Saccharomyces cerevisiae S288C: one gene and its partner. Changing the gene in region 1 together with any one later gene gives a genetic interaction. Each region holds a gene or a part of one and is shown on either strand. Other genes may lie near its edges.

The links.
Region 2: of INO1 (region 1) and GIT1, a mutation in one rescues a mutant of the other (synthetic rescue), as found in Saccharomyces cerevisiae (one study listed by BioGRID).

The regions. Positions count from the first base shown.
Region 1 is NC_001142.9:133,832-137,850, forward strand, and holds INO1 (inositol-3-phosphate synthase INO1), read right to left. Parts: upstream 2,103-4,019; coding exon 501-2,102; downstream 1-500. Other genes in the region: retromer subunit VPS35, read right to left, coding at 1-104; SNA3 (Sna3p), read right to left, coding at 2,541-2,942; SCF ubiquitin ligase complex subunit DAS1, read left to right, coding at 3,548-4,019. UniProt on the Saccharomyces cerevisiae protein: Key enzyme in myo-inositol biosynthesis pathway that catalyzes the conversion of glucose 6-phosphate to 1-myo-inositol 1-phosphate in a NAD-dependent manner. Rate-limiting enzyme in the synthesis of all inositol-containing compounds.
Region 2 is NC_001135.5:296,393-300,654, forward strand, and holds GIT1 (Git1p), read right to left. Parts: upstream 2,214-4,262; coding exon 657-2,213; downstream 1-656. UniProt on the Saccharomyces cerevisiae protein: Glycerophosphodiester transporter that mediates uptake of both glycerophosphoinositol (GroPIns) and glycerophosphocholine (GroPCho) as sources of the nutrients inositol and phosphate.

The DNA of each region.
Region 1 (4,019 bases):
TGTAATGATTCCATTAGTTTGTGTTGAGATAGACACCGGTTCATTAGTGCGGTTCGCTGCTTGATAACAGCGATCGCATTTTCTGGTGAGTCCGCATACGCCATTGTGTTTTTCAGCTTCTTCTTTCTCGTCCTCCTCCTTTTATCGTTATATATTAACTTCACTGGGCCTTGTTGAGTGGTCGCACATACACCACCTTCTTTTTTTTTTTCTCTCTTTTCTTCTCTTTACTGAGGTGGCCCTTGAATAAATACAGCACTTTCTCGCATCTACCTCAACTGAAAAAAAAAAAAAAAAATAAAAAACGCCCCTTTAAGACGAAGTGACAAAGAGGCAATAGTTCAAAAGAAAAAAAAAAAATATAAAGACTGTTGATAGTTGAATTTTTATAAACGTTATGTTAAGTATATGTATTGATGGAAGGGATAATAGGATAATGGTGAATGTCTTGTTTTTTTATAGGTAGGCGGAAAAAGAAAAAGAGAGTCGTTGAAATGAGATTACAACAATCTCTCTTCGAATCTTAGTTCGTTTTGAGAAGGCAATCCAATCAACAATCTTAAAAAATTTTCTAAGGCGGTTCTTTGCTTGTTTAAGCCATTCACCGGGTGAAATCCTGGTCTTGTTAATGGAGCTTTTAACCAGTAACTCAAGAAGGTTAAAACTGGATAAAAGTTCTCGAATTTGCCAGCATCTTCTTTAACTGGGTCCACCTTCTTATAGGACACTCTTGTACAAAACTCAGTCATGACTAAAAGATCGATGATCAAGGGCGTAGCCAGTAAAGAATCTTCGCAAACATTGTGAATGGAAATCCGGTTATGGCCACCTAACATCAACTCACTGTAATACTCGTCCATTGCCACTTTTGAGTCCCCGACGGGCTTCATATATTTGATGACAATGCAGTGGTCAACTTTTTTACCCAGTTTATCATTGTACAAGATATCATTAGACGCGATGATGTCATCTATGACAGAACTTTTGGAAATCTCCTTAGACCTAAATTGTTTTGGAGCAGATAAGTTATAACCGTCATTATTGCCTAAATGGTTATAGGATGCAATGGAGACCGGTTTAATACCTGCATCCACTAAGAACTGGGCCAGAACAGACTTCAACTTGGTTTGTCCCGACTTGAGATCGTCTCCCGCAATGAATGTACCCTCATGCTCAGCCAGCTGAACCAAGCCGGGAACAAAAGTATTCTGCGGTGAACCATTAATATAGGGGACACCTTCCAAGATAGATGCTGCTGCAAAGATCGTGGAAGGAGCAATCTCTTCATGGTCATTCTTAATAGACTGCAAGAGGTTTTCCATGGTGTCATTAACACCAGGAGATACTTCTACGTACCTCTCAGTATTTGCAGTCCAAAGAACGATTACTTTATCAAGGGCGTTTTCTTCTTTGAAATTCTGGATATCGCGTCTGATGCGTTGCAGATGGGTCCACTTACCCCTCGTGGTTACGTTGCCTTTTTCATCCAAATTGATGCAGTTATTGGCTCTCTCATCTTGATTAGCTGCAATGAAATCAGGGTAGTAAATGGAAGGAAGAGGCTTCACCAAGGACATCTTCGCCTTCAAGCGTTGTTGCAGATCATATTCGAGAACTTGACTTCTCTGCATAGCTTCGTATAGATCTGCGTTATTGATGTCCCAACCAGAGACGACAAAGTCGTTTGGGCTAACCATGGGCAACAGAGAGTTAAAAGGAGCATAAACGTCATTCCCCTCCGCATCGATACCCAGTTTCAAGGTAGAACATTGAGTCATGGAGCCGAAGTAGTTTGGTTGCTTAACGCCTTCCTTAGTTTGAAACTCCACATTGTGCTTATTCGCCAATACCGAGGCCACTAAAGTGGAGCCATTGTTGCCACCTAACCCAATGAGCATAATTCCTAGTTTTTCCGGCTTTTTCAAGTCAAGTTTGAACACGTAGTCTTGAACAGTGGGCGTTACATCGAAGCGGCCACTAGCTGTCTTCGTAACTACAGCATTTTCGTAGCTGTACTTGGTGAGCAGCTCGTTGTCCTTGTACGTGCACTTGTCGGTAACTACTTTAACGGAGGTGATTGGAGCAATATTATCTTCTGTCATTGTTACTTCTTTTTCACTGGAAAAAAAAGGGAATGAAACAGAATAAATCAAGGATAAAACTAACATTAGGAACCCGACAACAGAACAAGCCAAAAAAAGGTGACGAAAGCTCCAATTTATATACGTCTCAAATTAACATTGCCGCCAACGCAGAGGTGCGCTTTCTCTGCTCCATGTGAATTAAATAAGTTCAATATTCTGGGAAAGAAGGATGAAGATAAAATAGACAATACTTTTCACATGCCGCATTTAGCCGCCGAAGCGCATACTTGGCCTCCGCATATTTCACATTCAACACTTTCGATTCCGCATCCAACCCCGGAACACCGGCACGTATTTCATAAAAAGGACGTGAAGAACAAAAGGAACGAAGAAAAAGGCAATAATTTACTCTATGTGTTATTTAGAACTACGGTGATAAAGAGCTCGTTCCGATCACTAAGTACGGCCGGAAGAGAGCTGTTGTTTGTTGTCCATCAAGGGCACATCGGCACCGGCCTCATCGTCTTCATCATATGCTGGAGGCTGTGCTTGAGATTCCTCTGCAGGGTGAGCTTCCAGGTCACGGTCTACGGCGGGCGCAGTCGCATGTCTGCGTGAAAGATCGTACGAACGTTCACTACTCGTTTCATATACAACGTAGCAAGCGTGAATGATTGCTGGGAAGAATAACAGTAGGAAGAGAAGTAAGTTCAATAGTGTATCCCTGTTGAACATACCCTTACGCTTCCAGACGGCCACTGGGGGAATGAAAACCGCCAAAACCATTAACAACAAGTCGTCCTTGTTGATGGAATAGCTCATTCGATGGTCATGGTCATTAATATGGTCTCTGTCCATTTCTAAATTATATTTGGTTGTTTGCTTTCTGCTGGGTTTTTATTTTTTAACCTAGCCCCTTTCCTGCAGCTGGCTCATTCGTGCTGTACTCTCTTTCCTTTATATACTAGTGAGACCTTTTCCCCCGTTCCCAAAAAGAAAAAAAAAAAAAAAAAAAGAAAACGAGCCTTCATCACGTGCATTAAAGAAATAGTAATCCCAACGCACTCATCCGCTATATACATAGCGAAAAACTATATGCCCACTTCACAAATACGAGTTTGCATGTATAATATATAAGATTTATAAATGTTGTAGGGTGAATGTAAACGTTCAGTAATATACCGGTATATCTATCAAGATACGATCAATGCAACGCTTTACTGCACTGCACTACACCCCTTTTCCTCTACTTGTTTTTCTTAGTTCCTATTTCCCTCTCAAAATGCACCTGTTCACCAGAGTATTCTTTCTCATTGCAAGTATTACCCTACTTTATCGTCCCACACAAAGAGGAATATATATAGATTATAAGCGAATTGTAGATTTCGATGGAGATCTGATTTCCGTGCAAAATATCCAGGACGTCTATACACAGTGTTTACAACTCAGCTTATATTCATATCATGCCATTTCAAGATTATTTTCAGAAGAAAAAAGCAGCGTTCATTAACAGAAACAATAAAAGTAACGCAGATGCTTCAGCGCTACGAGATATTAACGATATTAACATAAATTTCGCCGCCAAGAGCAAAAACTACGTGTTCCCGCTAACAAAGCTCCCCGATGAGCTCATGCAAGAAGTATTCTCTCATTTGCCGCAACCAGACCGCTTGCAGCTTTGCCTTGTGAACAAAAGGTTGAATAAGATCGCTACCAAACTGCTTTATAGAAGAATATATTTGAACGACTCAAATGTAGTGAAGAGTGACTTCATGCATCTCGCAATTAATTGGACCCTACTGAACTTGCCGTCTTCGTTGAAAGAAGAGGAGTCCCGCGATATCGCCAACTGCAAATTGAAAAAACTTATAGAAACACTGCAAAATAATATTCACATTACTGAAGTCATCCAGTGGATAAGGATCAACTGGGATT
Region 2 (4,262 bases), on another chromosome or scaffold:
TTCAATTTTGGAACCTTTAAAGAAAGTTTAATCGAAACATTGAACGATCCAAAGCACAACTTTGTAGCGGGAAGTCACAAACAAATATAAAAAGTGTTAATAAACTGCCATCCTATGTTAGAATTGTGAAACTTTTTGGACTAATAAAAGGTTTTCAACATGGTGTTCCAAAGCACTTATTTCTAGGTTAGCTATGGTAACGAGTTTTAACGTAATCAAAACAATATACAATTCAAGATCTGTATCATTTACACTAACACACCCCATTTTAATAGAGCTGAGTACTTCCTACATTTCTTTTGCATATGATATCGCCACTGCATCATTTCTGTAGTCGTAAAATTTCCTTCTCATTAAGACACCGAAAATAGCTAAGGATTATAACAAAACAAACAAATGCTCAAACAAAACTTTTAGTAAATCTTTTGAAATGTAAAAGTTACTTAGAATAACTAAAAAAAAAATATTACGCTATACCATATATTTCCATTCCCAATTTTATCGTTTTATAATAATATTCAGTTTCAAGAACAATGAATATATTTCAAACATTACATGCACTCTTGGGAGTAAGCTGCATCATAATAAATTAAAATTAACGCTTTAGAAAAAGAAATTTTGAGGTTAAAGGATGGAGGAAGAAATCGATACCAATTTCAACTTTGATCGACCTGTCTGACTGAAATTATTTCTGCGTTTTTCTTACTACAATTAGTACCATTCTCTTCAACTTCAATAGTTCTAACCATTGATTCTTCATCTGTCTCATCAAATCCCATCTTACCAGTCCAGCCATTGGATACCAAATAGTTGTGAAATTCAACGTCTTGCTTCATTAAATCGCTTTCAAGAGAATGTGGAACAAAGAAATATGTAATAATGATACCAATAAGACCACAAATTGCAGCAATAATAAAAGTCCATCTTGCACCCAAATTATCCCTAATGGGTTGGAAACATTCGACGCCTACTACAGAACCGATTTTACCAGTCACAGCAGATAAACCATAGAAAACACCTCTAACAGCGGTTGCTGACGCTTCACTACTAATAACACCAAGCATATCACCTGGTCCAGCATTACCTAACATATTCATGAATGCGTAGAAGATAATAAACAAGGGGGTGATTTTTTTCAATTGGTCGTACGCACATCCAATGATTAGACCAAAGATGATGTACCCAGAGAAACCAAACATCAACGTATATTTACGACCAATACGATCGGACAGATAAGCACCAATTGGTACACCCAGTACAGCTAAAACTCCCAACAGTAAGTTCCACTCTGCCACTTTTACTAAATCATTTTGGTCCTTGATAACGGAACTGATAATTGTTGAACTGAAAATACCATTTGGGAAGGTAACAAAATCATACATAAACCATGTACCACATGTACCAAGTAACCTTTTCCAATAAAATTTCAATGCTAGGAAATATGGTATATTTCTCTTGATTCTACCTTTTTCATAGACTTCTGTAGTAGCAGTCTTCCATCTAAAATAGAACACACTCAATGGCCAGAAGCACCCTATTGCAAAAACAGTCCTCCAGATCGCCTCTAAATGTTTTGTTCCTGAACAGATTTTGTAGACGATTAAAAAGATGATCGTAGCAAATGGACCACCGAAGGCTAGTGGCAAATTTGTCACCATAACCAGGATACCACCTCTTTTGGTAGTGGTATATTCATTAGCAGACTCATTAGCACTTAATGTACTGGTAGGATATTCTGCACCAACACCAATACCTACCAAACCTCTCATAACTGTTAACATCCAAAACATGCCAGGTACAGTAGTACCGTGAGAGGCAGCACACAGAGCACTACCAATAACCAAGATAGCAGTGGCCACAAGGATACAAGATTTTCTACTATAATAATCAGCAGCGATACCCATAAAGAATTGGCCAAAAATAATACCAACTAGGGCTGCGTTGGAAACTCTAGTCGACACTTTTGAGCTATAGTTTTTCTTACCGTACTCCATAACAAAAACCTTGTTTAGCATACTCATTGAACCATTTACGTAACCATCACTTATCAGAGCAAAACCGGACGCAATGATTGTAACTATGTTTTTCCATTTATCTTTCTTTGAGGTTTCAGTACGGGTTGCACGCCTCTCGGCATCATATTTTATTATTCTAGGATTAGTGTTCTCGTTCACTTCCTTCTCATTTACCGATGTGATATCTTTGTCTTCCATTTTTTATCCTATTCTATTTTTTTGATTATAAGCAAAAAGATCAACTCACGTCTGCGGCTGGTTGACTAGTCACAAGAAACAGATAATAAATACTGTAACGAACATCTGCTACAACTACATTCATCGGGGTTTATATATTCACGAGTTTCCTACTTCATCCAGACACATTCTGGATGTCTTCCAGCAGATGTCCCTCATCAAAGAATTAAGATAGCCAGATTGAAAAACTAGGTTAACCAGAGAACTAAGTTAACTAATGTTGGAAAATAATCCTACGATACAGTGGACGGAATGCCCATATGCCTATATAATCAATCCATGCTAAGGTGGGGGTCCAGTAAGGAAATTCATGAATATGAAGATAAATGTGGCACCAAACGGCAACGCGGAAGACCGTAGGATCCAATCATATAACCCCTATTATTCTAACATCATTGCTGTTGGGTACAACATTCTACGCCGCTATTACTACGTGCTGCTTCTTTTGATTCTCTGCTTTCTTTACCGTCATGCACGTGCGCCGCGAAAAGTATTAATCATGCGGACACTCTGGCATTTAGGGGATACTGTCAAAAAGACTATGCTCAATACTGTCATATTCATATGCACGTTCTTTTTTTAATTTATCTTGGCAAAACGTGGGGCTGGAACTTTTGAAACGCACTGCAACATCTGTGGCTGTACAGTCAAGAAAAGTAAGTACTCATCGTCATGCTCTAATGTGTATATGGTATTTGTGGTGCAGACACCATTAGAAGTATAGTTCACGAAATGATGACACGATAGCATGTGCTTTTCGACGGCTGATAACCTTGTATTCTCTTATTTTTGTATTCTTTTCGTAAGCGGCATTTGTTTGCAGAACCTTATCGCAGATATCGATAAACATTTGTTGACAATTCTTTTTCGCTCCCCTTCTTTTTGTTTATCTTCGTTATATTCAATAGTCTACATACACTAACCGTTGAATTGTTGCAAACAAATACTAATAAAAATCTATATATAGTAAATTGAAGATGTACTGATCAGTCTATCATTGTTTAGTGCACCCAGACTCGAATCTTAAATACCACTTTACACACCTACTAAATTTTGTCCTCACAAAATGAAGACAGGATTCAAAACCGATTAATAGTAGCAGAAACTAAAAAAGTACGAATATTAGTAAAATTCATGTTCTTGAATCGAGCTACTATCTTTGTCGGGAGGGTAAACGATTATAACTCAAAATGACTGGAACTGGTGATTATTAATTTTTACGTTTCCTGTGCCAATAAGCGGAAGATAAGAGGATAGAAGAAAAGAAAGGCGGCACTTGGCGAACTACAATGGCGATTATATTCATGGCGATTATATTCATACAAAGGTAATGGAGGCCTCGGATAATGGACAATATTGAGAAAATCCTTATGCTTACTTCTCTTAATAAAAAATAGACACAGCCATTTATTATGCGTAAAAAAGATTACCCACTTGTCTTCGATGCGTGCTGCTGCCAATCAACCTTTTGAGCGGAACTTCGAGCTCGCAATGCGTCTGGAATGTTGCTAGAGACAGTCTTGGTTATCTGTGACATGTGTTTCGTTCAGGCGTGTGAGCATCTTCTTGTTCGATTTCAAAATTACCGCCTTGACTCGTGAAACTGGATAATTCGTTGGCGTTTTCATATAAGTCGTCTGATGGCGAAAACTTTTCCTTTACTTAGCATACAGCAAATATCCCCATTTGACGGATTTTTGAAAAATGAGCCCGCTAACCCAGAATGAACTGCATTACCAAGCATTTATGTAAACGTTCCGCCACCATCTTTGGTAAGGTATACTATTATGTTCTGGATTTAAGGTTGATTCACAATTTTTCATCACCAAAATCTGGTGGCATGCCTAGTTGTCTGGTTTCAGGCAATTTAGCCATCATAGAAAAGCATCCTCTGTCTTGAGTTGAGAAAATGTTACTCATAGAGCCAAACAAATAAACCCTGGAATTAAAATATAGTTTAAACACAACTTCATATTACACTGTAAATACATATCACAATAATAAATTAAC